Macaca fascicularis: one gene and its partners. The protein of the gene in region 1 interacts with the protein of each later gene in a pairwise test. Links are inferred from orthologs where the notes say so. Each region holds a gene or a part of one and is shown in the gene's direction. Other genes may lie near its edges.

Evidence for each region.
Region 2: the proteins of FHL3 (region 1) and FOSL2 interact in binary tests that used the Homo sapiens proteins (3 or more experiments, as listed by UniProt). The two-hybrid records come from large-scale screens. The link is inferred for Macaca fascicularis from reciprocal best matches to the Homo sapiens genes FHL3 and FOSL2.
Region 3: the proteins of FHL3 (region 1) and GCM2 interact in binary tests that used the Homo sapiens proteins (3 or more experiments, as listed by UniProt). The link is inferred for Macaca fascicularis from reciprocal best matches to the Homo sapiens genes FHL3 and GCM2.
Region 4: the proteins of FHL3 (region 1) and RFX3 interact in binary tests that used the Homo sapiens proteins (3 or more experiments, as listed by UniProt). The two-hybrid records come from large-scale screens. The link is inferred for Macaca fascicularis from reciprocal best matches to the Homo sapiens genes FHL3 and RFX3.
Region 5: the proteins of FHL3 (region 1) and ZNF512B interact in binary tests that used the Homo sapiens proteins (3 or more experiments, as listed by UniProt). The two-hybrid records come from large-scale screens. The link is inferred for Macaca fascicularis from reciprocal best matches to the Homo sapiens genes FHL3 and ZNF512B.
Region 6: the proteins of FHL3 (region 1) and TTLL10 interact in binary tests that used the Homo sapiens proteins (3 or more experiments, as listed by UniProt). The two-hybrid records come from large-scale screens. The link is inferred for Macaca fascicularis from reciprocal best matches to the Homo sapiens genes FHL3 and TTLL10.
Region 7: the proteins of FHL3 (region 1) and CNNM3 interact in binary tests that used the Homo sapiens proteins (3 or more experiments, as listed by UniProt). The two-hybrid records come from large-scale screens. The link is inferred for Macaca fascicularis from reciprocal best matches to the Homo sapiens genes FHL3 and CNNM3.

Annotation. Positions count from the first base shown.
Region 1 is NC_088375.1:196,908,855-196,913,040, forward strand, and holds the start of FHL3 (four and a half LIM domains protein 3), read left to right. Parts: upstream 1-1,386; 5' UTR 1,387-1,426; intron 1,427-1,584; exon of another isoform or gene 1,585-1,742; intron 1,743-4,186. UniProt on the Homo sapiens protein: Recruited by SOX15 to FOXK1 promoters where it acts as a transcriptional coactivator of FOXK1.
Region 2 is NC_088387.1:93,832,556-93,836,692, reverse strand, and holds the start of FOSL2 (fos-related antigen 2), read left to right. Parts: upstream 1-1,337; 5' UTR 1,338-2,182; coding exon 2,183-2,284; intron 2,285-2,927; exon of another isoform or gene 2,928-4,137.
Region 3 is NC_088378.1:162,067,501-162,071,792, forward strand, and holds the start of GCM2 (chorion-specific transcription factor GCMb), read left to right. Parts: upstream 1-1,492; coding exon 1,493-1,582; intron 1,583-4,292. UniProt on the Homo sapiens protein: Transcription factor that binds specific sequences on gene promoters and activate their transcription. Through the regulation of gene transcription, may play a role in parathyroid gland development.
Region 4 is NC_088389.1:95,612,183-95,616,280, forward strand, and holds the start of RFX3 (transcription factor RFX3), read left to right. Parts: upstream 1-1,298; 5' UTR 1,299-1,440; intron 1,441-1,453; exon of another isoform or gene 1,454-1,818; intron 1,819-2,485; exon of another isoform or gene 2,486-2,659; coding exon of another isoform or gene 2,660-2,681; intron 2,682-4,098. UniProt on the Homo sapiens protein: Transcription factor required for ciliogenesis and islet cell differentiation during endocrine pancreas development. Essential for the differentiation of nodal monocilia and left-right asymmetry specification during embryogenesis.
Region 5 is NC_088384.1:120,099,554-120,103,053, reverse strand, and holds part of ZNF512B (zinc finger protein 512B), read left to right. Parts: intron 1-75; coding exon 76-734; intron 735-837; coding exon 838-1,064; intron 1,065-1,157; exon of another isoform or gene 1,158-1,161; coding exon 1,162-1,233; intron 1,234-1,335; coding exon 1,336-1,479; intron 1,480-1,636; coding exon 1,637-1,761; intron 1,762-1,839; coding exon 1,840-1,932; intron 1,933-2,109; coding exon 2,110-2,208; intron 2,209-2,283; coding exon 2,284-2,454; intron 2,455-2,781; coding exon 2,782-2,976; intron 2,977-3,208; coding exon 3,209-3,310; intron 3,311-3,500. UniProt on the Homo sapiens protein: Involved in transcriptional regulation by repressing gene expression. Associates with the nucleosome remodeling and histone deacetylase (NuRD) complex, which promotes transcriptional repression by histone deacetylation and nucleosome remodeling.
Region 6 is NC_088375.1:233,578,403-233,581,737, reverse strand, and holds the end of TTLL10 (protein polyglycylase TTLL10), read left to right. Parts: intron 1-1,278; coding exon 1,279-1,395; intron 1,396-1,747; coding exon 1,748-1,841; intron 1,842-2,353; coding exon 2,354-2,817; 3' UTR 2,818-2,835; downstream 2,836-3,335. UniProt on the Homo sapiens protein: Inactive polyglycylase.
Region 7 is NC_088387.1:1,835,747-1,839,776, forward strand, and holds the start of CNNM3 (metal transporter CNNM3), read left to right. Parts: upstream 1-1,230; 5' UTR 1,231-1,265; coding exon 1,266-2,490; intron 2,491-4,030. UniProt on the Homo sapiens protein: Probable metal transporter.

The DNA of each region.
Region 1 (4,186 bases):
GCTTGAACCTAGGAGGTGGAGGTTGTAGTGAGCCGAGATTGCGCCACTGTACTCCGCCCTGGGTGACAGAGCAAGCCTCTGTCTCAAAAAAAAGAAAAAGAAAAAAAAAAATCCCAGAGAAAGTCCCCATCCATGGGCTGGATGCTCACTGCCTGGACTCCAGATAACAGGTGCCTGTGATACAAACCAAGGATGTTAGACGGGCATACATACTGAAGCAGTGTCTGCTATCCATTCATTCATCAGATGTTTATTATGTGCCGGATATTGAAGTAAGTACTGAGAAGGCTGTGGGGAACAAAACGGAGCCCTGCCTTCATGGCTCTTACCATTTAGGCAACAACAGCAATAATAAACAAGCAATAATTTAATTTTGAAAGGAAACCAGGCCTGGAGGGTGACTTGGGACCCAGGAACCCAGGCATGACACAGAGATGGGAGGGAAAGGTTCTCAGGAGTCCCAGCCTGGGAGGGTGTTAGTTCCTCTGTGAGAGCTCCGCTGCACCCAGCCTGGGTTGTGGGGAGGCCTCTGTGGGCACCTGAATCTTCACTCTAGACGCTAAGGTTATTCCAGGGTTGGTTTGTTGTCTCTTGTTTCCACTAACAGCACAGTAGAGCCTCCTGCCTCCCTCCCTCCCCCACCCCTTCCAGACCGAGGCTATTTATTCCTAGTGACAAGCCTGAGGATCCCAGGGGGGGTGGCCTCAAGGACCTGGAGGGGCCTCGTGTCCCTAGCAGGCGCCAGTCCTCCCTCACGGACACAGGGAGGAAGCCAGAGGTTTAGACACTGCAGAGGTCCCCTCCCCTCTCCTCCACCACCCCTGCAGTGCCCCATCCTCTCACACTCCTCACACCCCACCCTAGAAGCCCAAAGATCATGGGGCCAAGGATTAGGGTCTCTCCTGGGCCTCAAAGGTCAAAACTATTCCTGGGCACTGCGGAAACCCAGGCAAGACAGGACTTCTCAGCGTCAGGAGGCCACTGGAGGTGGGGAGGTGGTTACCCCTGTTTTTGCTACTCAAAGTTGTGGAGTAAAACCCTTTGGAGGTCAAGGCCCTGTGGTGGGGAGGGGTCCTCTCTTCGCCCCATGTTTTCAGAGAACACATTGGTGCCCGCTGACAGGCTCATGACAGTAGAGTCAAAACCTCCTCCTCCAGGCTGGATTAAGGCCAGGTTGAGTGTCACCCCTAAGGGTAAGGTGAGGGGGTGGGGAAATCCGAGGAGGCCACAGGACTCTTCCCCAGTGGACCATGGTCTGTGGGGTCTGATGTCCCCGGCCTGAGATGGAATACAACAGTCTCCCTCTGGCAGCTGGGGACGGGGGGGGGGGTGGGGGTGGGGGTGGGGGGTGGGAGGGGAGGAGAGCAGAGGCTGCGGGGAGGGGACAGGGGCGGGGTCCCGGCCGCCTGAAGGTTGGGAGAGCCAGGTTAGGCCGGGCAGGAGGAGGGGGCCGGGCCCGCTGGCGGCCGAAAGGGAGGTGGGGGCGGGGTCTGGCCCCCGCAGCGGGCTGGGGGGCCGGGGGCGGGGTCCGGGCGGGGCGGGCCCGCGCTCACTTCCTCGGGGAGGGGTTGGGGCCGCGCTCCCACTCGCCCACACGGTCCGTCTGCAGTCGGCAGCCTCGCCGGCAGCTCGCTCGGCCCCCGCTTGGCCCGGCCCGCAGGTAGGAGCCGCCGAGGGACGCGGCGCCCGGTTCCCCGCCCCGCCCGCGCCGCGCGCTCCCCGCTCCCGCCGCCCGCTTCGAGGTGAGCGCCCCGCCGACCCCGGCTCCCAGCCCCGGCAGTCCGCCCCCGCGCCCAGGGAGCGAAAGGACCCGCGGAGGGCTGAGGCCAGCCGCGGCCCCGGCCCCCTGTACCCGCCAGGCTCTGGCCACAGGTGCCCGGGGCACGCCGAGCCCGGGAGAGCGCCCGCCCGGACTAGACCCCTCCGGGCTGCCGGGCGGGGCGGGGCGGGGGCGGGGGCGGCAGCGAGAGTTGGGCGGGGGAGGGGGCTAAGTTTGAAATAGAAAAGCCGGATAGAGACAGACCGACCAGAAGCGCTGGAGAAACTGAGGTTCTCGCAGAGCCCAGTGGAGCGAGAGACCAAGACAGGCAGGGACTCGAGGCACAGGAGGAGGCTACCGAGACCATTGAAACAAGGACACACCGGGCGTACAGTGTTACCGGTGGACAGACCCGAGACATGGGGGCCGTCCCAGGCTTTCTGGAGCATTTTCAGAAAACATACGTGGGACCCCAGCGAACACATTCCCTGGGGCCCTTCCCCAGGCCTTGGAGGTGCCCTGAGGCTTGGGCGTCATTGGCCTCAGGCTGAATCTGCTCTCTGAGGCCTGCAGAGACACTCAGAGACTAGAGACAGAGACACTCAGGTATGCAGAGGTGGCGAAAGAGACTTGGATATAGAGACAGAGAAAGGGATGTGGTGGGGATTGAGACATTCAGCCATGTAGACAAGAAGAGACCAAGACTTGAGATCCACAGAGGCATGGGCCGCCGGGGGACAGCCAGTCAAGATACAGAGTCGTCCAAAACCTAAAGACAGAAGCTGTGTCCAGACACAGAGATGCTGAGTGAAGCAGAGACAGACACCAGAGACTGAGACTTAGTGGGGGCAGAGAGACCTAGGTGGGCTGACAGCTTCCAGGACAGCCCCTGACTTACCCAGACCTGAACCATTGGGAAGTGAGGCTCTGGGGAAACAGAAACTCTGAGCCCACCAATCCCCCATGAGGCAGAGGCCCTGAGACAGTAAGTTCGAGATCAAGAAGAACCCCGTGGACACACACAGCCACCAAGACAGCCCCAACTTATTTTTAAACTCAAATCTTGGACAGGCTGCCTCTGCCCTGGGGGACCCAGGGTGAATGAACTGTTCCTCTCCTGTCCCCAGAGCAGCTGCGGGATCCTGCTCCCCAGCCCCCTTCCCTAGACTTCTCTGACTTCCAGGTCCCATGGGGGAGAGCAGAGCTTGGGGTTGGTGCCCGGTAGCAGAGGGTGAGGGTTGAGGGAGTTGAATTTCTCCCCTTAAGTCTCCTGTCAGCTTCTAGAAGGTGGGGGAGGGGTCTGTTCTGATCCTGACTCACAGCTGTGGGACCTGGCCGGGGTCCTCCTGGATAGTGGGCATGTTGGGGGTGGGGGACAGAAGAGTTGAATGGTTGGCATGGGGCATTGGAAAGGCTTCTGGGTGCCTTCCAATCACAGGGCTGGCAGCTGGGGAGAAGAGCCAGGCTCTAGTGCATCTCCTGTCCCCCTGCCCTTAAAAGCTGATCATCCCCTTCATCACCAGGGCAGTATTTTTAGGGAGACAGAAGAGCTCTGGCCTGGGAGGCAGGGGACCTGGGTCCTGATAACTGAGTGACCTCGGGCATAAGCCTGCTCTATTCCTGCCTCCTTGTGCTCATCTGTAAAATGGGGATGATACTCTGTCCTGCCTGCCTTTTGTGAGATCTGATGAGATGGTGGTGGGCATGGACTTTGTGAGTGGCAAAGCAGCATGCAGGTGTCTACACCTGTGGACCTGTGTGGGAGATCTCAAGAGTTATGCTTACTAGAGTCAGGCTGACTGGGCTGGAGCAACCACTGCCCCCACTGGTGTCCTCAGCAAGCCCCATGGGCCTGGGGCCTCCTATTCTCTCCCTGGGCCTAGGCTGAGAATGTCCAGGTCAAATTTCAGACAAGGCTGGGCACAGTGGTTCACGCCTGTAATCCCAGCACTTTGGAAGGCTGAGGCCAGAGGATCACCAGGAGTTCAAGACCAGCCTGGACAACATAGTGAGAACCCCATCTCTACAAAAAACAGAAAAACCTAGCTGGGCATGGTGGCATGTGGCTGTAGTCCCAACTACTCAGGAGGCTGAGGCAGGTGGCTTGCTTGAGCCCAGAGTAGGTTTTTTTTGTTTTGTTTTGTTTTTTTGAGATAGAGTTTTGCTGTTGTAACCCAGGATGGAGTGTAATGACATGATCTTAGCTTACTGCAGCCTTCACTTTCTTGGTTCGAGCAATTCTCCTGCCTCAGCCTCCTGAGTAGCTGGGATTACAGGCGCCTGCCACCATGCCCAGTTAATTTTTGTATTTTTAGCAGAGGTGGGTTTTCGCCATGTTGGCCAGGCTGGTCTTGAACTCCTGACCTCAGGTGATCCACCTGCCTTAGCCTCCCAAAGTGCTGGGATTATAGGCATTAGCCACCTCAC
Region 2 (4,137 bases), on another chromosome or scaffold:
GAATTCCGCTACAGTACTTCTCCATTCACACACCATCATCTCAGCAGAAGGACTGGAGCTCCAGAGCAGAGAAGGGCCTAAGGTCATGGCTCCAAACTCCTTCCCTTTATAGGAGGAAACTGAGGCCCAGAGAGGTTAAGGAATTGGTCTAAGATCTCACAGCTCGTAAATAGCGTAGCCGGGCGTTCCTGCTCCAAGGTCTGTGCTCTGTACCCTGCGCCGCGCCCCTCCCAGCCCCGCCCAGTGAGGGAGGAGGACCCAAGTGTCCGGCTACCCGCGCCCTGAACTTCGCTCCAAAACAGCTGAAGACGACAACGTTGGGGCACACCCTCTCGCTGGCTACTTTTTTTTTTTTTTTTTTTTTAATTCGTAACAGTCGGGAGTTTGCTTATGAACGCCCGATTACTCTTATTAGATGCGTCCTAATTGCTCGGCGTACAGGGCAGCCGGAATATCTTGCCCGGTTAATTTCATCTTCAAGGCTACTCCTAACGAATTAACTGTAGGACCGAAAACATGAAAAACAAAAATCAAAAAGGGAAGCGGTAGGCAGCCCGCCACGGAGGGAAAAATAGGCAGGCCAGCCCCGCCCGGCGCCGCGCCCCGCCAAGACCCGGCCGCAGGGCGGCGCGGGCACCCTGCGCGCCCCGGGCGCCCGCTGCACTCGGCGGCGCCGCGAAGGGCGCCTACGACCGCGCGCGGCCGCGCCCTCCCTGCGAGCGGCTCTGCGCGCCCAGCTCCCGGCCTCCCGGTGGCGCCGCACCGAACCGCCCGTCTCCCCGTCAGGGCTGTGATTATTTTCTAAAATCCGGAGTCGAGACCGCGCGGCCGCTCTCGGGGCCCCGCCCCGCGCCCCTTCCCGGGGCGGGGGAGAGGCCACAGCGCACTCGGGAGCGGGCGAGGGAATCCCTCTCCCTCCACGTCACCCGAAAGCGAGGAAACCCGCACTCGCGTCCTCTAACGCAAATGACCATCTTTGGCAACGTGCGCCAATGGAACAGACCAAGGGCGCTGGGCCCGGGGGGTGAGCGGGGGGCGGGGGAGGGCCGGGGCTGCCTCGGCGCCCCCCAACCGTGCGGGCCGCCCGCTCCCGCCAGGGCCACCGCCTGGCTTCCTCGCGCGGGGTGCGCGGCTGGCGTCAGCGCGGCCGGGAGCCGGGGCTGGGAGGGAAGAGCTGCGCCCGCCTCCTCCCCTCCTGCGCCTCTTCCTCCTCCGCGGCCTCCTCCCCCCGCCTCCTCGTGCGCTCCTCCCTGCAAGGTGGAGTCTGGGGTTGACGTGAGTGAATCCACATGGTACAGGGCTGGAGAATAAAGAGTGTGAGTTGAACTCGTGCCATTGTAGTGACTCATCTCGGGCAGAGCGCTAGGGCTTCGAGCGAACCAGCGAGCGAGCGAACGAGCGGCGCTCGGCGGGGACAGAAAGAGGGAGAGGGAGAGGCGCGGTCGGGCGAGGCGGGCCCGTCCGGGAGCGGGCGCCGGGGAAGGGGTGCAGGTCCGGGCGCCGGAGCGGGGAGCAGGGCCGCGTCCCTCTCAGCGCCAGCTCAGCTTGAGCCCCACGAGCCGCTGTCCCCCTGGCGCGCTCGGGGCCGCGGGACGGGCGCACGCCGCCTTCTCCCAGTCAAGTATCCGAGCCGCCCCGAAACTCCGGCGGCGAGTCGGCCACGGGAAGTTTATTCTCCGGCTCCTTTTCTGAAAGGAAGAAACAGAAGTTTCTCCCAGCGGACAGCTTTTCTTTCCGCCTTTTTGGCCCTGTCTGAAATCGGAGGGTCCCGGGGGCTGGCAGGCCAGGCTCTCTGGGCTCCTAGTCTTTTTAATTTCCAATTTTTGATTGGGCCGTGGGTCCCGGCTGAGCTCCGGCTGCGCGCGGGGGCGGGAGGGCGCGCGCAGGGGAGGGACCGAGAGACGCGCCGACTTTTTAGAGGGAGGGACCGGGTGGACAACTGGTCCCGCGGCGTTCTCAGAGCCGGAAAGAAGTGCCGTAAGAGGCGCTCGGGGGACGCTGTTCCCGAGGTGTCGCCGCCTCCTTGTCCTCGCCCGCCGCGGTTGGGGAGAAACCCAGGAGCGAAACCCAGAGCCCGCGGCGCGGCCGGCGGACGAACGAGCGCGCAGCAGCCGGTGCGCGGCCGCGGCGAGGGCGGGGGAAGAAAAACACCCTGTTTCCCCTCCGGCCCCTACCGCGGATCATGTACCAGGATTATCCCGGGAACTTTGACACCTCGTCCCGGGGCAGCAGCGGCTCTCCTGCGCACGCCGAGTCGTACTCCAGCGGCGGCGGCGGCCAGCAGGTAGGTGCGGGCCCCGGTGCACCTGGCGGCGCGGGCGGACCCCTGCCCTCCTCTCGCCGCCACTGCCTCTTTTGCTTTCTTTTCCTTTTCTTAGCGAAAAAATACCTACGGGCCACCGTTGTTAAGTTCTGGATTTTCGTCCTCTCCTCCCCCACCACCCCCTTTTACATCAGGGGATTGGGGAGTGGGCTTGAAAAGACAACATGCCCTTTTCCTCCCACATTATATTTTACCCAGATAAACTCCTGGAATTGTAGGCCCCCTACCAGGAAGAGCCTGTTACCTCCTCCCATGAACTACTCCCCCTCCCCAGTGCCCGCCCCTCCTCGCCCCCCGCCCCGAGTCTTCTTTCTGGATGGTGGACAGACAAGAAAATCTTTGCACCCACTGGCACCTTTCGACATCCTGGGACCCTATTCTTTCAGGAAAGCTCTCTCTCTCTCCCCTCCTCGTTCTCCATCAGTCTTAGCTCCTTTCTGAAAGGGGTTGGGGATCCAGAAACATGGTTGGACTCCTTCAAGTAATCTGGAGCGAGGGCGAGGGCTGCCGCTCTGGGAATCAGGTGCGAAGGTCAGGAAGGAAGAAGCCAGCCTTGATTGGCTCATGCCGCCTGTGTGCCCAGTGCCTGCCCGCCTGCCCGCCCGTCTTCTGTAAGGGTCGAGGACAGGAGGCTGCACTGCCCCGCAGGAACGAAGGAGCACCGTGAGGGTCTGGGGGTACCTGGAGCAAGGAGGCCGGCAGAGAGAACAGGGGGTCGGTGGGGGAAGAGACATCACACAGGCTCCTGGGTGGTTCTGGAAGCAGAAAACAACTTGTTTCTAAAGCAGCCGGACTGGTTTGCGGTGGAGGGATTGTGCGTGTGATCTCTGTGTTTATAAATACCAGGAAGGTACTGTTGTTGCGGGGCGGGGGGGGTGCTGATGGCGTGCCTGCCCTCTGCTGCGGCTCCCCACCCGCTCTGTCTCAAGAGAGAGCTGGGTTAACGCAGGCCCAATACAACATGCAGCCCACGGTGGTCAGCATCTGTGGAGTCTAGCACAGTTGGCTGCAGCAAGGGATGCTCCATAAGGCGGTGGCCTTGGCCTCTAGAAGGGGCTGGGGTGGGCTTCCAGGGAGGGGTAGATTCAGCTGGAAAGTCTTATGGAACATGGCTCTCTTTTGGATCTGATGAGGGATCCCTTGTTCCAAAGTGATTCCCTATACCTGATGAGTCCCCAAAATGGCTTTTCTGCCTTCCCTCTGCCTCCCATGGTGCTCCTATAAGCACCCGCAGTAGAGACAGCCTGGTCTGTTCATTGAGGGTGCAGTCAATGCACCGTTCGTATTGAGCACCAAGGTGATGAGTTTTAAATCCGAAAAGTTACTGGTTATGTTTGCTCCCCAGCCCCGTTGGTGGTTTGTATTGAATGTAAACATCCTGAGGGAATAGGCTGAAGTCTGTACCCTCCGTCTCCCGTTCAACAAACCCCAAACGCCTGTCCTCCTCCCTGGAATCAGGAAGGGATCTTTTGATTTCTTCCCTGTTCTTTTCCCTAATGTGTCTTTGGCAGTTATCGTTGGAGTATTACAATCTCACTGCCTGGCTTAGCATAGACCCTGGGGCCTGCCGGGATGTCAGACCGGACATCATTGCCCCAACTGAATAATCTGTGTCACTAGGGCTTTGAGCCCAGGATGTGAGCGGAGGCAATTCCCGGTTTTGGAAGAAAATCAGACAGGAAACCAGTGCTAGGAAGAAGGAAGAGAACTCAGTCCAGCAGAGTGTAATAGGGCCTCATTACTGAAGCAAAAAGCAGCTGTTGGCTAATTCCTAGCATGCTGTAACACATGAGGATTTTGCAATTAGTAATAAC
Region 3 (4,292 bases), on another chromosome or scaffold:
CTCGGGAGGTTGAGGCGGGAGAATCGTTTGAACCTGGGAGGCGGAGGTTGCAGTGAGCTGAGATTGCACCACTGCACTCCAGCCTGGGCGACAGAGTGAGACTCCGTCTCAAAAAGAGTTCTGTTCAGGTGGGTGGCAACTGAGAGCTCCCCGAACCATAACCCCTTATTTAACAGATAAGGAAGCTGAGACCCAGAGGGAGCCAAAGCAGTGGAGAAAGCTAGGAGTTCTTCGGGACTTTACCCCTCTCCCTTTTCCGTCCTTCCCCAGGCTCCTACCTACCCCAGGCTCATTTCCCCCCACCTCCTCCGGGTTCACTTTGTAGGACTCCGTTCCTGCAGGGCCAGGTCCCTCCGAAGTCCCCGGGAGCGCGAAGGCGCCTGGGCTCGCGAGCATACGCGGAGGCGTGGCGCCCGTTCACACATCCCAAACAGCCGAGCGAAGACTCCGAGACACGCACAATAGTTAGGGGAAGAGCCGGCAATGGAGGCCCAAAATGGGCTGACCCGTAACTAGGAGGCATGGGCACGGTTATTCAGCGTAGGGAGCGCGCGGACGGCAGAGGGGCCCATGCACGGTTCCCATGCTCTACTGGAATTGAGTGTTGACTCTCAGGGGACTTTGCTGGAAAGCCTCTGCTTCCAAAGCCTCCATCTAAGCCCCTTTCCGAAATCAGGGAAGCTGGATGCGTTTAGAAAAAAAAAAAAAAATAGGCCGGGTGCGGTTGCTCATGCCTGTAATCCCAGCACTTTGGGAGGCCCAGGCCAGCGGATCACCTGAGGTCAGGAGTTCAAGACCAGCTTGGTAAGGGTTTCGCATGGCGAAAACCTGTCTCTACTAAAAATACAAAAATTAGCCAGGCGTGGTGGCACGGACCTGTAATCCCAGCTACTCGGGAGGTTGAGGCAGGAGAATCGCTTGAACCTGGGAGGCGGAGGTTGCAGTGAGCCGAGATGGCGCCACTGCACTCCAGCCTGGGCAACGGAGTGAGACAAAAAAGAAGAAAAGAGAAGAAAATAATAAGGTTTTAAACTTAAAGGATACATTCCAACTTACCCTCTCCACCCCCACCCCCTGGCTGCAGTTTCCCTTTGCTTCCAGGGCTGAGTTTAACCTCCACCTCCGTTCCTGAGTCTGTGGTGGAGGTGGTGGCTGGCCCCTGGAGCGTGGGCGCTAGCGAGGTAGGCGAAACAGGGCGGAGTCCCCCGGAGATGCATCTTTATAAAGGAGGGATCAGCTGCAGACGTCGATGCTACCGTTCGGGTGGAGACCGTTCAGCACCGCGGCCGAGGACAGGGCCCCGCCCGGGTCCATAACCATTGTCCCCAACTTCCAGATTTCTAAACAATCTCTCTCTCTCTCTCTGCCCCTCCCCTTCACACACATACCCCACTTTCTTCTTTAAAGAGTAGAAAAAAATCACCTGGCGCACCTCTCCTTTTTTCTTCTATTTTTCAGAACCCTGGGCGGAAAGCGCGAGCGAGTTGGGCAGATGCCGGCAGCCGCGGTGCAGGATACGGTCGGCGTGTGCTCATACGGGATGCAGCTCAGCTGGGACATCAACGATCCACAGATGCCTCAGGTAAGTGAACCGGGTGTGTGCGGGCACGCGGGGCGCTGTCTATCCGAAGGAGGGAGGGAGAATGGCATTCAAGTTCTTGAAGAGTCTGCGGACGGACCATACACACACACACACACACACGCACACACACGCAAAATTTCTGGGTTTCTGAGGCCCCCTCAAATGTATAAAGAGAACTGAACTCCACAAAAGGCTGAATTGGGTTTAGAAATGTGTCTTCTCGGCCGGGCGCGGTGGCTCACGCCTGTAATCCCAGCACTTTGGGAGGTCGAGGCGGGCGGATCACCTGAGATCGGGAGTTCAAGACCAGCCTGACCAACATGGAGAAACCCCGTCTCTACTAAAAATGCAAAATTATCTGGGCGTGGTGGAGCACGCCTATAGTCCCAGCTACTCGGGAGGCTGAGGCGGGAGAATCGCTTGAACCCGGGAGACGGAGGTTACTGTGAGTCAAGACCACCCCATTGCACTCCAGCCTAGGCAACAAGAGCAAAACTCTGTCTCAAAAAAAAAAAGGAAAGAAAGAAGAAGAAATGTGTCTTCTCCCAGCAATTTCCTTGTGCTTGCCTGAAATTACGCGGAAAGCAGCAGGAAATGTTGATCAGGCTCCACATTCCCAGTCTTGGGGAGAGCGGGACGCCTGTCCTTTCGCTTCCCGTTAACCAAGGTAGAAATCAGGTGCCTCTCTCCTTATTCATTTACTTTAAATCCATGAGAAAGCTAACGAGAAAATCTAAACAGATGTAAATACCACTGCTTCTCATACAGCAAAACTATGAGGTACAACTATAAAGTGAATCTAATGACCTAAACTTAAAACAAATAGCCAGACTTCAGCAATTTGTTCAGACCTGCCTGACTGCCCAGAGGAAGGAGGCCCCATAGTCATGCCAACGAGGCCATCTGTCCCCGAAACTTACTTCTTCTATAATGACAAGCAAATCATCATTCTTTTAGGGTGAATTCGTTGTATTTTGTATAAAGCATTTTTGTATAAAGCATTTTTGTATAAAGCAAAAATGGTTTGGAGCCAAGTCCAAAGAATGAACTGGGATGGATGAAGTGGTAAATAAAGTGGTTTGAAGCCAATTCCAGAGAATGACCAATTATGCTTGGTCATACTGGTTTGGGCCAAAACTGAGTGACTCTGAAGTCTGGGCTGTGGGGGATGGGGGATGTAGAATGAGAGTTGCTTCCCAGCCATTTACAAATGTGGGCTTCCAGCAATGTTGTGGCACAGGAATAAAAGAGATGTGTCATTTTTTCAGCAACTAAAATGTGCCTGATAGGTGTTCAGATGAATAGTAATTCATTGCAACATTGTGTCGCCTCTCAAAGAGGTCAGCACTTTTTTGGAGCCACACATTTGTAGGTGAGGTGTGTTTTACTCCTTTGTTTTTGTTTGTTTGTTTGGGGTTTTTTGTTGTTTGTTTGTTTTTTGAGATGGAGTTTAGCTCTTGTTGCCTAGGCTGGGTGCAATCGCATGATTTCGGCTCACTGCAACCTCCATCCCCCAGGTTCAAGTAATTCTCTTGCCTCAGCTTCCCAAGTAACTGGGACTACAGGCATGCGCCACCACACCTGGCTAATTTTGTGTTTTTAGTAGAGATGGGGTTTCTCCATGTTGGTCAAGCTGGTCTCAAACTCCTGACCTCAGCTGATCCACCCACCTCAGCCTCTCAAAGTGCTGGGATTACAGGCGTGAGCCACCGTGCCCAGCCCACTCCTTTGTTTTAAAGTCTGCCTACTTTAGAGTCACATGGTACCACTTTCATGAAAGTGGACCACAGTACAGCAAGTGCATCTCATTCTGTTTCTGTCCATGTACATCTTCACAGGAAACAATCATATCTTGCATATTAGAAAATCACATCCAAATAATGTAATTATGGTTCGTCTCTCAAGCATTTGGTAGACTTCCTATGTAAATATGAACTTTGTTTTAGGAGACTGGTTGTTAAGTGGAAGTATGTGTGTAATAGCTCAAAAGGGCCAGGCACACTGGGACATAGTGAAGTGAAGAAACTTAGCATCGCCCTGCTCTGGCTAACCAAGTGAGCGAGTTAAACTACCTGTATGACCTTGAGAGAGTCCTTGAATTTGCCTTAGTCTCAGGCTACTTACCGACTTGTCATCAAGTGGTAGAGTGAGATAACCATCTCAAACTCTCCTCCAGGTCTACGATCAGGTTCAGGTGGAGTGTGTGTGCGTACACACACACACACACACAACATGTCAACACTTTAGAACAAATGAAACCCAATCCTTGACATCCTCTATTCTGATTTTAAAGATAGAGTCTCTGCGGCTCCACTGCCGGGGTCACTACCTCAGTAGCTCGCGTGAGGCATGTGGGCCTAGTCTACATCCTTAAGGGAGAACTAAAGAAAGGCTGTTTTCTGGAAAATTGTCAATTCATTACTAAGATCCTTAAGTTAAAATATTCACTTTGAAAACAAAGATATTAGCATTTAGTATAAGCTTGGAGTTGATAGTACATCATTATATATTTCACTTGTGTCTTACCTTACATTAATGTACTAATTTATGTCAATTGTAATATTTCAGAGAAAAGATAAATAATACCTAATGGTAGTAATAATTATTTCAACAATATCTTTGTAATTTTAGAAACAAAATCACTCATTTACCTTATTACTGTTAGAATGTGCAGTATTCATGATGTATACAAGTCTGAATTTTCCAACTG
Region 4 (4,098 bases), on another chromosome or scaffold:
GTGTTAACAACATTCAACACAGACGGAAGCCATTCGTCTATCTCAATTCAGCCGGAAATAGCAAGACCCTCAGCTACAGTAGGCTGACTAAGTGGGGCTGAGGGCAAGGTAGGTAACAGGATCCAGGCTTGAGCTCAAGCCCCGGTTCAGTCTTTAAAGAGGGATGAGCACGTAAGGGCTTAAACTAACAGAACTAGAAACTAACAGGATGGTGTCGCAGGCAGGTGTAAATTACCCCGCCCCTCTACGCCCTCCGTCGAGGAGACTCGCCAAATGCGTTTTCTCAGCCTACGGGCAGGGCAATTTCTTGCTCTCTACAGGCAATTACTCCCAGCCCTGTAAGCAGGGAGTGATGACCTCGCCTTTTCGTTCTGGAGTGAGGGCCGGACACGCTTGGACCTCACCTCTCCGCGCCACTCTGCGGCGGGGCCGCGGGAGGCCGGCTCGCGCCCACGCGCACCCCACGCTCGCCTTCTCTAAGATGGCGGCAGAGGCTGCTCGCTCACGCCCCGCCGCCCGCGCTCCTCCAAGTCGTGCCCTCAGCAGGGGGGAGTGGGTCAGAGCGCGGAAAGCAGAAGGGCGAGAGTGACGCGGATCCTCCAGTCCACCGCAGGCCGCGGAGCCCTGAAGCGTCCAGGAAAGCGAAAAGCCAGCAGGCTAACGCGACCAGGAACACCGCCAGCACCTCAGAAACGAAAAAAACGGCGGCACATCCGGGCCCCTCTGCCCGCCCCGCCCCGGAAGTAACGTATCGGGCAGGGGCGGGGGTTGCTCTTCAAAGTGGATTCTTCCTTAGCCATAGCTCGTCTTTCCACAAAGTGCCTGGAATCACCCTCGCCACCCCCTCCCTCGGGTTAGCCGTTACTCTCTCGTGGCTCCGGGACGTCTCTGCACAAAGCTGGCTGCCGGGAAAGGCAGCCCTCGTTTCACAGATAGTAATCCTCGCACCGCGACTCTAAATTCTCCTGGGCTTCGCCAGCGCGTGTAGTAACGTCCCTCTGAGAGGACTCTTGGTGACCTCAGCCCCAACCAAGCATAGGCGCACCTCTTCGGAGTCCTGTGTTGGAATCCCGGCCTCGTGCCCCGTCACCCCGCCACCCCGCCACCCCGCCCGGCTTCGGGGGCCGTCAGTCACAGCGCTGCTCCCTCCCCTTCCGGCGGCTTGGCCGGGCCCGCCTCCTCCCCTCTTCCCTCCCCCACCCCTCCCCGTGCGAGTGTCTCCCTCTCCCTCTCGCTCTCTCTCTCCCTCTCTCTCTCTCTTTTGTGAGTTATAGCAACCGTTGCCTTGTGAATCAAGCGCCATAGTCACCGTAGTCCTGGCGACTGTTACCCATCAACAACAACTACTCCTCTCCTCCTCCTCCTCCTCTTCCTCCTCCTCCTCCCCACCACCACCATCTCCATCACCCACCAACAACACCACAATAATCCACAGCCAAGGTGAATATTCTTCGGTCTCTACATGTGTGTGGGAGCGTGTGGCTGCGTGTGAACGCGTGTGTCCGTGCGTGTGTGTGTTCGTGTGTGCGAGCCGAGTGTGGCTGTGCAGGGGTCTCACTCCTGACACGGGGGCTGCCGCTGCGGCGCCGCCGCCGAGGGGCTCTGTTCCCCGGGCTTGTTTACAATGGACCCTGCGCGCCGCGGCTGGGTCGGGGGTGTGGGCGCCGCGCTGCCCGCCGGCCCCGGCCCTGCGCCGGCCGCACTTCAGGGATGGAGCGGGAGATTGGGGGGCTGCGAGCCGAGCGGGAGAGGGAGCCACAGTTTTCCGATGCGGATGCCGGATCTTTCCCTTAGGTCTGGTATGAGGAGAAGGGTCAGGTGAAGAGATAAGAATTTGTTCTTTCTTTAATTTTCTTCTTTTCTAACGCTGCTTGTTTCCTGCTTCTTTCAAAGCCGAAATAGACAACAGTGTGCAGGGGGGGACCCAAGAGGTGGTGTTTTGTTGTTGTTGTTGTTCACTTGTGGGGCCTTGTTATGGGTTTTGTTATTTTTATCCTCGTACGTTGGTGAACTTTTCCCACCGCCTGTTCCCTTCATTTTTGCCCCTCTTTGCTTGGTGCTGAATGGGCTGCTCTTCTTTCACCATCATGAGCTTCACGGTTTTCCTTTTTCTTTTTAAAACTGTGTTTTCTTTGTGCGGCAAACAGTCTTAATATCCATTCAGCACTCTTCCCTCCCCCTCTTTCTACTCCCCCACCCCCCCACACCCCTTGCACACACACGGAAACCTGGGGCCTCTTCGTTGGGCTCTCTTTGCTGTACTGGGAAAGAGATTTTTCTTTTTTAAAGTCTGTCTCCTCTCTCTTCTTTGGGGGGTGTGTGTGTGTGTGCTTGTGATTTAAACCGGATGCACGGCATCTGTGATACTTGGGTTAGTAGTTATTGACAGTGCTTTATCCTTCATGTGGAGGTGGGAGGGGTAGTAGTGAGGTTCCGTTTCACTTTGATGATCCTCTTTCTCCGCAGTAGAGTGTTAACAATTTTCATTGTGGTTATGAGACTTTGTGATGAACAGGGAAGGGACACAAGGAGGCTTTGTGAGAACTCAGTTCACAATGTTATTTGTGACAGTTATGGTACTTTAAGAGTTTTTTTTTTTAATCTACTCTGTTCATTTTCCTTTGAGAGTTGAAATTGAAGTCAAGTTCATAAAGAATGTATGAAGCTTCTCAACTTGAAACGTGTGTATATTTCACTTTCTTTGTGGTTAAGATCTAGGCATGTTTGTACTTAACATATTCTTTTTATTTACTTTTTGATTTTCTTTGGACAGTGACTTGAACCTGCTCAGGAGAGAGAACTTTTTCCTTTTTAAGTATTTCTTTTAAAAATTATATTTCTCTGTAGATTTGAATACTTATTAGTCCTTATGTAGTAGGTTCTTGGTTAGCGTTAACCCAGTTTTACAGATCCCCTAAATTTGTTCATTTTTTTCAGCTTAACTTTTAGTTAATAGATTTATCAATAAAGAGTTTTGAAAATGAATGTGTGCTAAAACAAATACAACGTACTATTATAGTTGCACATATTGAAGTTTTTAATTTACAGTTTTAAAATGCTTATTCAAATAGTCTTCTAACAGCAAACATATATTGATTTAACTGACAGCAGCTTGTGAATAATGTGACAGTACTAATTATTCTTGAGATTGTCAATGAGCAGGGTAGGTAATTATAATGCTATTAAGGCTAATATTTTGTAAACTAAGAGTTGGGATTTTAAAAAACTTTTTCAATTCATTTCCTTGCGATTGCTATTTTAAATGAAGACGATATTTTGTTCTGAAAGAAGTCTTTCTCAGAGTACTCAGAATTCTTTATAATTATTCCTCCCCTCCCCAAACTGGGTTCCATGCAAATCTCTAATACTAACTTGTACTTTTTTTTGTTCAGATTGAGTGTCAAATGCCTGAACACTTTTGGATGATGAAGCTCCTGGGTCCTATAAACTCTCTGAAGTTAATAGGAGTTTTGCTGTCTTGGGACAGTTTCAGACCTTATGCCATTTACATAATAGGTTTTCAGTTAAGTAAATTATATGCTGGAATGTTACAATTTAATATTTGCAGTGTCTGAGAACTTTTTTGAGGCATTTCACTCATGTATAGCTCGTTTTCTGTGATTTAGATTTTCATTCACAAGTTGATTTGAGAGCAGAACTTAAATTGAATTTCATTACTTTTCCATTTTTTGAAGCATATATGTGGAATAAAATCGCTATTAGAGCTGCTGTGGAATTGCTTAAATAATCAGAAACACTAAGAAATGGTAAATTTAAAAATTAAACCCAAGAGTAGATACTTAGCTTTTACTTTATTCTTTCTTAATATTTTTCCTAGAAGGGACTATATTACATATTGATACTTTCTTGTGTTTTTAGTTTTTATACTAATAGAAATTTGTAAAAGTGATCATGCTTTGAAACTAAAACTATTTTAGCAGAAGTCACTTGTAACTTGTTTTGAATAGTTAAATATCTGTGATTCAATGTATGCCATAATGCCTCAGTGTTTTTGGTTTGTTTTGCCTGTGAATTATATAAAATGGTGTAGGCATCATACGTATACACATATTTGGCAAACTAATGAATTTCTAGAAA
Region 5 (3,500 bases), on another chromosome or scaffold:
GGGAAGAGGAGGCCTTGGGGTGTGTCTGGGCAGAGGCCCTTGGGGCCCTGTCCCACACCCGCCCTCCCTGCCCAGGGTGCCATCTCAGATCGGCTCGCCTTCCCCTGCCCCTTCTGCGAGGCTGCATTCACCTCTAAGACCCAGCTGGAGAAACACCGGATTTGGAACCACATGGACCGACCTCTGCCTGCCTCCAAGCCTGGGCCCATCAGCAGGCCGGTCACCATCAGCCGGCCCGTTGGGGTCAGCAAGCCCATTGGAGTGAGCAAACCTGTCACTATTGGCAAACCCGTGGGTGTCAGCAAACCCATTGGCATCAGCAAGCCAGTCTCTGTTGGCAGACCCATGCCAGTCACCAAGGCCATGCCAGTCACTAGGCCCGTGCCAGTCACCAAACCTGTCACAGTCAGCAGGCCCATGCCAGTCACCAAGGCCATGCCGGTCACTAGGCCTGTGCCAGTCACCAAACCCATCACAGTCACCAAGTCTGTGCCAGTCACCAAACCTGTACCTGTCACCAAACCCATTACGGTCACAAAACTTGTGACAGTTACGAAACCCGTGCCGGTCACCAAGCCAGTGACAGTCAGCAGGCCCATTGTGGTCAGCAAGCCGGTGACAGTCAGCAGGCCCATTGCCATCAGCAGACACACACCGCCCTGCAAAATGGTGCTGCTGACCAAGTCGGAAAACAAAGCACCTCGTGCCACAGGGAGGAACAGTGGTAAGAAAAGGTATGGGGCTCGTTCCAGGCCGGGGTGCTCCTCGGCCATGGCCTGGGGGTAATGGGGCCCAAAGTTAGGCCCTCCTGGCCCTCACCTCACCTGCTCCCTGCAGGGCTGCGGACGGCCTGGACACCTGCCCAATTCCACCCAAGCAGGCCAGGCCAGAGAATGGGGAGTACGGCCCCTCCACCATGGGCCAGAGCTCGGCCTTCCAGCTGAGTGCAGATGCCAGCAGTGGCTCCTTGTCGCCAGGCAGCAGGCCGTCGGGGGGCGTGGAGGCACTGAGGGCTGCAGGCCCTGCGTCCCCGCCTGAGGAGGACCCCGAGCGCACGAAGCACAGTAAGATGAGAGCCCCAGGGGTGGCGGCCGGCACAGGCTCGGCTCCTGACGGTTATTTGACCAGAATCTTGGCCCCCGTTTTCTCTCCCCGAGTCAGGAAGGAAACAGAAAACACCCAAGAAGTTTACAGGGGAGCAGCCATCCATCTCAGGGACCTTTGGGCTCAAAGGTAAGACCCCAGCCCGGTGTGCACTTCCAGGGCTGGGGCTGTCCACTGAGCGGCAGCCCCTGAGCCCACCCCTGCCTCTCTCCACCCCATGTGTGCACACAGGCCTGGTCAAAGCTGAGGACAAGGCCCGAGTTCACCGCTCCAAGAAGCAGGAGGGGCCAGGCCCTGAGGATGCCCGGAAGAAGGTGCCAGCCCCCATCACTGTCAGCAAGGAGGCACCAGCCCCCATGGCCCACCCAGCTCCAGGTAGGGGCTGCCTGGCAGGGGCTCAGGGCAGCTCTAGAACGCGGGTAGATCCCACAGCACAGGGATGGGGGCTGAGTGTGGAGGCTGGATTCTGTGCCTGGTGTCCAGGCCACCCAGGGGTCCCCACAAGCCTTCGAGGCCCCTGCCTTCCCCACAGGTGGCCCTGAAGAGCAGTGGCAGAGGGCCATCCACGAGCGTGGGGAAGCCGTCTGCCCCACCTGCAACGTGGTCACCCGGAAGACGCTCGTGGGGCTCAAGAAGCACATGGAGGTGTGTCAGAAGGTAAGGCAGCTCCCGGAAGGCGCTGGGAGGGAGGTGCCCCGGCCGCAGGCAGGCTTCTCACACCTGCGCCATCTGCAGCTTCAGGATGCACTCAAGTGCCAGCACTGCCGGAAGCAGTTCAAGTCCAAAGCTGGGCTCAACTACCACACCATGGCCGAGCACAGTGCCAAGGTACCGTCGGGCCCCCAGCGCCTGTCCAGCGTGACCTCTGACCTCACACCCCACCTTCACCACAGCTCCCCCAGTTTCTAGCCTCGGATGACGGTGGCCCAACACCTGGGTGGGGCAGGGCCAGGGCAGGGACCTGTGGTGGTGGTGGTGGGTCACCGACGTTCACCCCGTCCCCAGCCCTCTGACGCCGAGGCCTCTGAGGGGGGTGAGCAGGAGGAGCGCGAGCGGCTGCGCAAGGTGCTGAAGCAGATGGGACGGCTACGCTGCCCCCAGGAGGTCAGTGGGGGCCACGGCAGTGTGGGGTGGGGGGGCCCTGCTGGCCACTCACCCACCCTCTGGCCTGACCCCCAGGGTTGCGGGGCTGCCTTCTCCAGCCTCATGGGCTACCAGTACCACCAGCGGCGCTGTGGGAAGCCGCCCTGCGAGGTGGACAGCCCCTCCTTCCCCTGCACCCACTGTGGCAAGACATACCGATCCAAGGCCGGCCACGACTACCACGTGCGCTCGGAGCACACGGCCCCTGTGAGTGGCTCTCCGTTCTGTGGCATCCGTTCCGTGGCACCATGCTTGCTCCTGTTTGCCGTGTGTGTTCTGTGTGCCTCGGGTACCAACCGTATTTGTCCATGTGCCGCCTAACGCATGTGTTTCCCACCCCTCTCTGTGAGAGGCGGGTGTCCTGGTGGGCGGGAGGGTGAAACCTCCCTGTTCCCTCGGGTTGCCTGCGTCAGCCGTGTCCCCAGCACACTACGAGGCCTGTGGGTCCACCGGCCTTGGGGTGGCCTCACTGTGCGCCGACCTGCCTCTTGCTCCTGCGGCTCACTCTAGCCTCCATGCCTTCCTGCCCTTCAGCCCCCTGAGGAGCCCACAGACAAGTCCCCCGAGGCTGAGGACCTGCTGGGTGTGGAGCGGACCCCAAGCGGGCGTGTCCGCCGCACGTCGGCCCAGGTGGCGGTGTTCCACCTGCAGGAGATAGCAGAGGACGAGCTGGCCCGCGACTGGACCAAGCGGCGCATGAAGGATGACCTCGTGCCCGAGACCGCACGGGTGAGCTGCCCACCCAGTATTGTGGACAGCGCTGTGGCCTCTGGGCGGGACATGCCTTGGCCTGAGCCTTGGGACAGCCGCCCCGTGACCTGGGCCACCCGTTGCCCCCGCCATCTGTGGCGAGTGTTGCCTGCTGCCGTGGCGAGTGTTGCCTGCTGCCAAGGCGAGTGTTCTTAGAGCAGCTGGGGTGTCTCCTGGCCTCAGGCTCACCCTGGTGCTGTCGAATTCACAGCTCAACTACACTCGGCCAGGGCTCCCCACGCTGAACCCCCAGCTGCTAGAGGCATGGAAGAATGAAGTGAAGGAGAAAGGCCACGTCAACTGTCCCAATGATGTGAGCAGAGGCCGCCGGGTGGGGGCGTGGGGACCCACACAGGGACAGAGCCCAGGTGTGGCCCTCAGAGCAGGAGTGGAGGCTGAGAGCTTTCAGGAGGTGCCCAGACCACCCCAGGCCTTGCATGCCCAGCCTGCCCGATTCCCAGGACTCACACCCCCTCACTTGTCCCAAAGAGGTCTCAGAGATC
Region 6 (3,335 bases), about 37 Mb from region 1:
TTTTTTTAGACAGTCTCACTGTGTCGCCCAGGCTAGAGTGCAGTGGCACAATCTCAGCTCACCACAGCCTCTGCCTCTTGGGCTCAAGCAGTCCTCCCACCTCAGCCTCCCAAGCAGGTGGGACTACAGGCACACACCACCATGCTTAGCTAATTTTGTTAATTTTTTTGTAGAGCTAAGGTCTCGCTTTATTGCCCAGGCTGATCTCAGACTCCTGAGCTCAAGTGATCTTCCCGCCTCGGCCTCCCAAAGTGCTGGGACTACAGGTGTGAGCTATGTGCCTGGCCAATTTTTGTATTTTTAGTAGAGATGGGGTTTCACCATGTTGGCTAGGCTGGTCTCAAACTCCTGAGCTCAAGTGATCCTCCTGCCTTGGCCTCCCAAAATGCTGGGACTACAGGTGTGAGCCACACACCCGGCCCTCCTACTTTCTGTTAGTCCTTTCAAGTGGGATCTTCCAAAGAACTACCAGACATAAGAAAACAAATAATTACAATTTTTTTCATAAATGAGGTCTATTTTTCTATCTCCAGTTCTGGGGATGCACGCCGTTGTTTTTTGAGGCTACAGCTGAGCTGGGGAGCAGAGGATAAAACCAGAGCACATTGGCCGGGCGCGGTGGCTCACGCCTGTAATCCCTGCACTTTGGGAGGCCGAGGCGGGCGGATCACGAGGTCAGGAGATCGAGACCATCCTGGCTAACACGGTGAAACCCCGTCTCTACTAAAATACAAAAAATTAGCCGGGCGCGGTGGCGGGCGCCTGTAGTCCCAGCTACTCGGGAGGCTGAGGCAGGAGAATGGCGCGAACCCGGGAGGCGGAGCTTGCAGTGAGCCGAGATGGTGCCACTGCACTCCAGCCTGGGCGACAGAGTGAAGACTCCGCCTCAAAAAAAAAAAAAAAAAAAAAAAAAAAACCAGAGCACATTAAAAAACGACAAAATTCACCGTTCTTACGGTGATTCGAGATTTATGTATCCCATTTGCTATCCGTCTCTTCTGCTATGAAAGAACTGCTCCAGGGCAGAGATTTCTTGTGAGTTTTGCTCACTCGTGTATCTCCAGGGCCTGGCACAGGGCAGGAGCTCCAGGATTTTGTTGACTGAGTTTCTGGCTGTGAGCCTGTGATGCTGAGTGCACGAACGTGTGGGCAGGTGTGGTTGTACAGGTGTGGGTTCAGATGGGAGTGCCGGTGAGGGACGTGGCTGTAGCTCTTCAGACCTGGGGTGTGATCAGGGCCTAGAGGCCACAGCCAGGATGCCTCCCTGTCTCCCTGCAGAAGCGGATGCAGCAGATCATGGCCCACTGCTTTCTGGCCGCCAAGTCCAAGCTGGAGTGCAAGCTGGGTTACTTTGACCTCATCGGCTGTGACTTCCTGATTGATGACAACTTCAAGGTGCTGTCCTGGGTGGCGGGGGCACGGGAGGCAGATGCAAGGAGGCAGGGGCCATCTGCACACACCCTAACCACACTGGCAGGCCCCAGGCAGACTCTGCAGTCAGCCCTGGGGATGGATGTATCCACGAGGCTCACCTCCTATGCAGCTGGGACGGACCTGCACCCCCTCCTCAGGGCAGCCCCTCAGGCCAGAGCTTCAGACCCTCAGAGTTTCAGTGGACAAACAGGGGAGCAACGCTATAGAAAGGAAGCAATCTCCCAGAGCCACCTGGCTGAACGAGGACCAGGGCCTCTGCCCTGCTGGCCCAGTGGCCTCGAGGTGGGGAGGGTCTGACTGGCATCTGGTGCAGGTATGGCTGCTGGAGATGAATTCCAACCCAGCCCTGCACACCAACTGCGAGGTCCTGAAGGAGGTCATCCCAGGTGTGGTCATCGAGACCCTGGGTGAGCCCTCCAAGCCCCCACCCCACACCCCCACAGCCTGCCCAGTCTTGAATGCCCACCCGCCCTCTTCCCAAGTTCGGACCCCCACAGATGGGGCTATTCCACCTTCTGTGTGGCAGCACCGCCCCAGCCCCCACCTTCCCCACCCCTCACACCCTCCCCACCCCTCACACCCTCCCCGCCCCTCACACCCTCCCCGCCCCTCACACCCTCCCCGCCCCTCACACCCTCCCCACACCTCACACCCTCCCACCCTTCACACCCTCCCCACACCTCACACCTTCCCCGCACCTCACACCCTCCCCACCCTTCACACCCTCCCCGCCCCTCACACCCTCCCCACACCTCACACCCTCCCCGCCCCTCACACCCTCCCCACACCTCACACCCTCCCACCCTTCACACCCTCCCCGCACCTCACACCCTCCCCCCCCACACCCTCCCCGCCCCTCCTGCTCCTCCCAGTCCCAGCCTCTGCCCCCCATTTACCCTCTCCCCCCCACCTTCACCAGACCTGGCACTGGAGACCTTCCAGAAGAGCCTGCGTGGCCAGAAGATGCTGCCTCTGCTGTCCCAGCGTCGCTTCGTGCTCCTGCACAACGGAGAGGCCGACGTGTGGCCGCGCCTGGGGGGCTCCTGCAGCCTCCGCCGACGGCTGCCTCCGCCCACCCGCCAGGCCAAGTCCTCCGGGCCACCCACGCCGCGTGCCCCAGACCAGCCGGGCACCCGCAGGCCTGTGCCACCTCCCTTGGCACCGCAGCGTCCCCAGTTGCCCGGCCCCAGTCCTGACCCAGATAGCGCCCACGATGGGCAGCCCCAGGCCCCGGGCATAGGCGACAGGCACCCGGAGCAAGAGCCTTCCCCGGGGACAGCCAAGGAGGAACGCAAGGAGCCCGAGAACGCGAGGCCCTGGGGCGGCCACCCACGCCCCACACCCCACGCCCCAGCCACACTGCCCGCCTTCAGGGACCTATAAAGGCTACTTTGTTACAAACATGGTCTCTGCAGCGGTCCTGCCACCTCAGCGCCCCGAGCCCATGCCCACCGGGGTCGCCCCCCACCACGCCGGCACTGGCCTGAAAGATGCTCCCCTGGGACTTCCCCAGCCCCCAGGCCCTGCCCCCAGGCCCCAGTAGCCCCCACTCCATGGCTGGGCCCTGTCCCTGAGGAGACTGTGCTGAGGGACAGGGGTCTCCACGGCTGGGCCCAGTCCTGGGGGGCTGTCCTGAGGAAGGGGGGTCCCCACAGCTGGCCTATGCTCCCTTCCGGGCTGCCCCATCCTGGGCTCCCGCCCATCACCCTGAGCCCCTCAGCACCAGGACCCTCCTGCAGCCCTGTGACCCCACGGCCCCCATGGCCTGGCCTGCATCCGCCATTGCCTGGTGTCCCCAGGAAGGGTCTGGACCCCATGGGCCCCTCTGAACCCTGCTGGAGCTCCAAAGGAGGACCCCCCTTGAGCCCAGGATGGCTGCCGTGGGCACCTACAGGGCTCGC
Region 7 (4,030 bases), on another chromosome or scaffold:
TTTTTTTTTGCACATTACTTTCCACACAAGTTTTACTTTGTGGCCACAATGTGCATACTTTATTTGAATGTTACTTTCATGACATAGCAAATTGTTTCTATAGTTTTTATAAAGGTCATTTAAAATGACATGCGCAGTAAGTCAAAGTCTTCCTGTGCTAGGAAATTTGAAAAAACAAAAGTGTAGAGAAAAATACAAAAATTACTGAATCTGAACATCTACAGAGAAGTGTTAGCATCTGGTCTGTTTCCTTCCAATCACAGACAGATCATATCTAATGGGTAAAGAACCTTCCATACTGTCAACAGACCACACTGTCTTCTAAAATCAATTCACCAGTGCGGATCCTCTGGAATAGATCTTGTGAGTCCCGAGGTGGTACTTTCCTCCCAGCGGCGAGCTATGAGAAGTGGAATCACCAGAGGTAGTCATTCCGTAGACAGAACTGCCGCCTCCCTGCGTGGCTGCGATGCTGACCTGGGTGGCAGGCCGGGGGCGCCGGAACCCAGCACGCACACTAAGTCGGTCCGAGCTCCGCTCTGCTCCTGTAAGATACTAACAACCTGAGGTAGCTGTCCAGACTCAAGGCGGTAGTGATTTTGTGTGTCTGCGTGTTTATCGCGGGGTCCGCAGCGGGACCGCAGGGGCTGTGTCCGACGTCCCCAGACCTCCAGCAGGGTCCGGAGCGATGAACATCTTCCATCAACTTCACCTCCGGGCGCTCGGTCACTGGTTCTTACTTCAGCCCTCTTAGCACCGTAGGTCGGCGCGTCGAAAACCTTTCTGGCACCCGGTGGTCTTTCCTAAGAAAAAGGCACATCTCTCGCACATTTAACTCTCCGTCCGGTCTTTAACTTCAGGCGCGCCAGGACCCGAGGTTCTTCCGAGCGGCAGCTCCGCTCCAGAGCCGGGCACTTCCCAGAGCATTGGCGCGGCCTCCGGGCGCGGGGGACAGCCGGGCGCCGCGCGCGGGCCGAGGACAGCCGGGCTGGGGAGGCCCTGCCCGCCGCCCCGCGTTCTCCCGGCCACGGCCACCCCGCGCATCCGGAGCTGCCGCAGACCCGGCCGGGCCCAGAGCCCCACGCCCCCGGCCCGCCCCTAGCGGCCGCTTGTTTACTCCCCGGCGCAGCCTAGTCCGACCCTGGGGCCCGCCCCTGTCCACCGCCTATTGGCCGAGGAAGCGCGAAGACCGGCAACGATTGGCCCGGGGAGGCGCGGGGCGAGCGGGGTAGGCTGCGCGAGAGGCCGAGAGGGGGCGGCAGGCGATGGCGGCGGCGGCAGCGGCGGCGGGTGTGTTAGGCTGGTTGTTCGCCGCGCTCTGCCTGGGCAACGCCGCGGGGGACGCCGCGCCGGGCCCGCGAGTGCTGGGCTTCTGTCTGGAGGAGGATGGAGCGGCGGGCGCGGGGTGGGTACGCGGAGGGGCGGCGCGGGACACGCCGGACGCCACCTTCCTCCTGCGCCTCTTCGGCCCGGGCTTCGCCAACAGCTCTTGGTCCTGGGTGGCCCCCGAGGGGGCGGGCTGCCGGGAGGAGGCGGCCGCCCCCGCGGGCGAGTGGCGCGCGCTGCTGCGCTTGCGCCTGCGGACCGAGGCCGTGCGCCCGCACTCGGCGCTGCTGGCGGTGCGCGTGGAGCCGGGTGGCGGGGCGACCGAGGAGGCGGCGCCTCCCTGGGCTCTGGGCCTGGGGGCGGCCGGGCTGCTGGCGCTGGCAGCGTTGGCGCGCGGCCTGCAGCTGAGCGCGCTGGCGCTGGCGCCGGCGGAGGTGCAGGTGCTGCGCGAGAGCGGCTCGGAGGCGGAGCGTGCGGCGGCGCGGCGTTTGGAGCCCGCGCGGCGCTGGGCCGGCTGCGCCTTGGGCGCGCTGCTGCTGCTGGCCAGCCTGGCGCAGGCAGCGCTGGCGGTGCTGCTGTACCGCGCGGCCGGCCAGCGTGCGGTGCCTGCTGTGCTGGGCAGCGCGGGGCTCGTGTTCCTGGTGGGCGAGGTGGTGCCGGCCGCCGTGAGCGGTCGCTGGACGCTGGTGCTGGCGCCGCGCGCGCTCGGCCTCAGCCGCCTGGCCGTCCTGCTCACTCTGCCCGTGGCGCTGCCCGTGGGGCAGCTGCTGGAGCTGGCAGCGCGGCCCGGGCGGCTGCGGGAACGGGTGCTGGAGCTGGCGCGCGGCGGCGGCGACCCCTACAGCGATCTCAGCAAGGGCGTGCTGCGCTGCCGGACCGTGGAGGACGTGCTCACGCCCCTCGAAGACTGCTTCATGCTGGACGCCAGCACCGTGCTGGACTTCGGCGTCCTGGCCAGCATCATGCAGAGCGGCCACACGCGCATCCCCGTGTACGAGGAGGAGCGCTCCAACATCGTGGACATGCTCTACCTCAAGGACTTGGCCTTCGTGGATCCTGAAGACTGCACGCCGCTCAGCACCATCACTCGTTTCTACAACCATCCGCTCCACTTCGTCTTCAACGACACCAAGCTGGACGCTGTCCTGGAGGAGTTCAAGCGAGGTAACATCCCGGGCATGGTGCAGGGGACGCCTGTGCCAGTGCCCTCTCCCTGAAAAGGGATGGAGAGTTATGAAAGCCTTCAGGAAAGGGTCCCACCCCCGTGGCGTGCGGTGAGACTTCTAAGGTCCCTTTTCAAGACGGTATTGGCCTTGCAGGTTGGAATCACCTTTTGAAATACTTAAAGGCCATCCATCAGAGTGGGAGAAATCCTTTAGACAGCGAACACTTTAACCCCCGCGTCAGGATGGCACCCCTATACATATCCTATTTGCAGGGAGGGGTATGTCCGCTTGGCTCTAATCCCCCAGCTCTTCCCCTCTCCCAGAGCGTTTCTGTGTGCTTGTCTTTGTAGCAGGTCCAAATGTTTGGCTAGAAACTAGAAGAACACAGAGAAGAGGGTAGTCTCCAGGTATCTGGGACGTTGTGGCCCGCACACATGTAATATCAAATTGACTGAACGTGTGATGTTTCCTTCAGAGCGTTCTTAAGGTCTCTGGCTTTACTGCAGATAAGGGTATTTAGGTGTCAATCTCTTATCTGCAGTAAAGCCAGGGAAACTTACACTTTGCTTCCCCCAAAAGTAACTCCACGGATGCTGACTTAGTCTCCCTTTCTCTCGGCTCTGTCGCCCAGGCTGGAGTGCAGTGGCGCGTTCTCGGTTCACTGCAACCTTCGCCTCCCAGGTTCAAGCAATTCTCCTGCCTCAGCCTTCCGGGTAGCTGGGACTACAGGTGCACGCCACCATGCCCGGCTAATTTTTGTATTTTTAGTAGAGACGAGGTTTCACCACGTTGGCCAGGCTGGTCTTGAACTCCTAACCAGGTAATCCACTTGCCTCACTCTCCCAAAGTGCTGGGATTGCAGGCGTGAGCCACTGTACCTGGCCTTTTTTTTTTTTTTTTTTGCTTTTTAATCTCCTGTTCTTAAAAAATTTTATATAGAGACAGGGTGTCACTATTTTGCCCAGTCTGGTCTCAAACTCCTGGCCTCAAGTGATCCTCCCACCTTAGCCTCCCAAAGTGTTGGGATTACAGGCGTGAGCCACTGCACCCAGCCTAACCTACACTTTTCTATCTGTAAGGTTTCAAGTTCTCCCTTCACTCCACATTTTCATCCCTCCTTTCACTCTGTTTTATCTAAGCAGTTCGGAGATTGAAGGTAAAACCAATACTCCCCAGATATGAAGGTGTGGTTTCCTCTGTAGTCCTCCCCAGCGTCATCCTTAGGGGTGCTCCCCAGAGTTTGGTGCTCACACCTTGGCCAACAGCCATGCTTCTCACACCTGCACTCCTGTAGGGTGAGGGTGGGGGCACCCCAGGGTGGTGGATGGGCTTGACCCTAAAGGCTGTCTGCTGTGAGACGAAGAAGTGGCAAAGCCTCCTGGTATTTGTGGCAGGACGTCTCTGGCACTGTCTCACTGTCTGTGAGAGCCCCTGGCCTGTCGGTGCAGGAAGCCAGGCTTTGTGGTAATGATTGCTACTCCTGACTGAGCACTGCTATGTGCCAGGAGCTGATGGGCACTCTCTGTAATCTCGTCCCT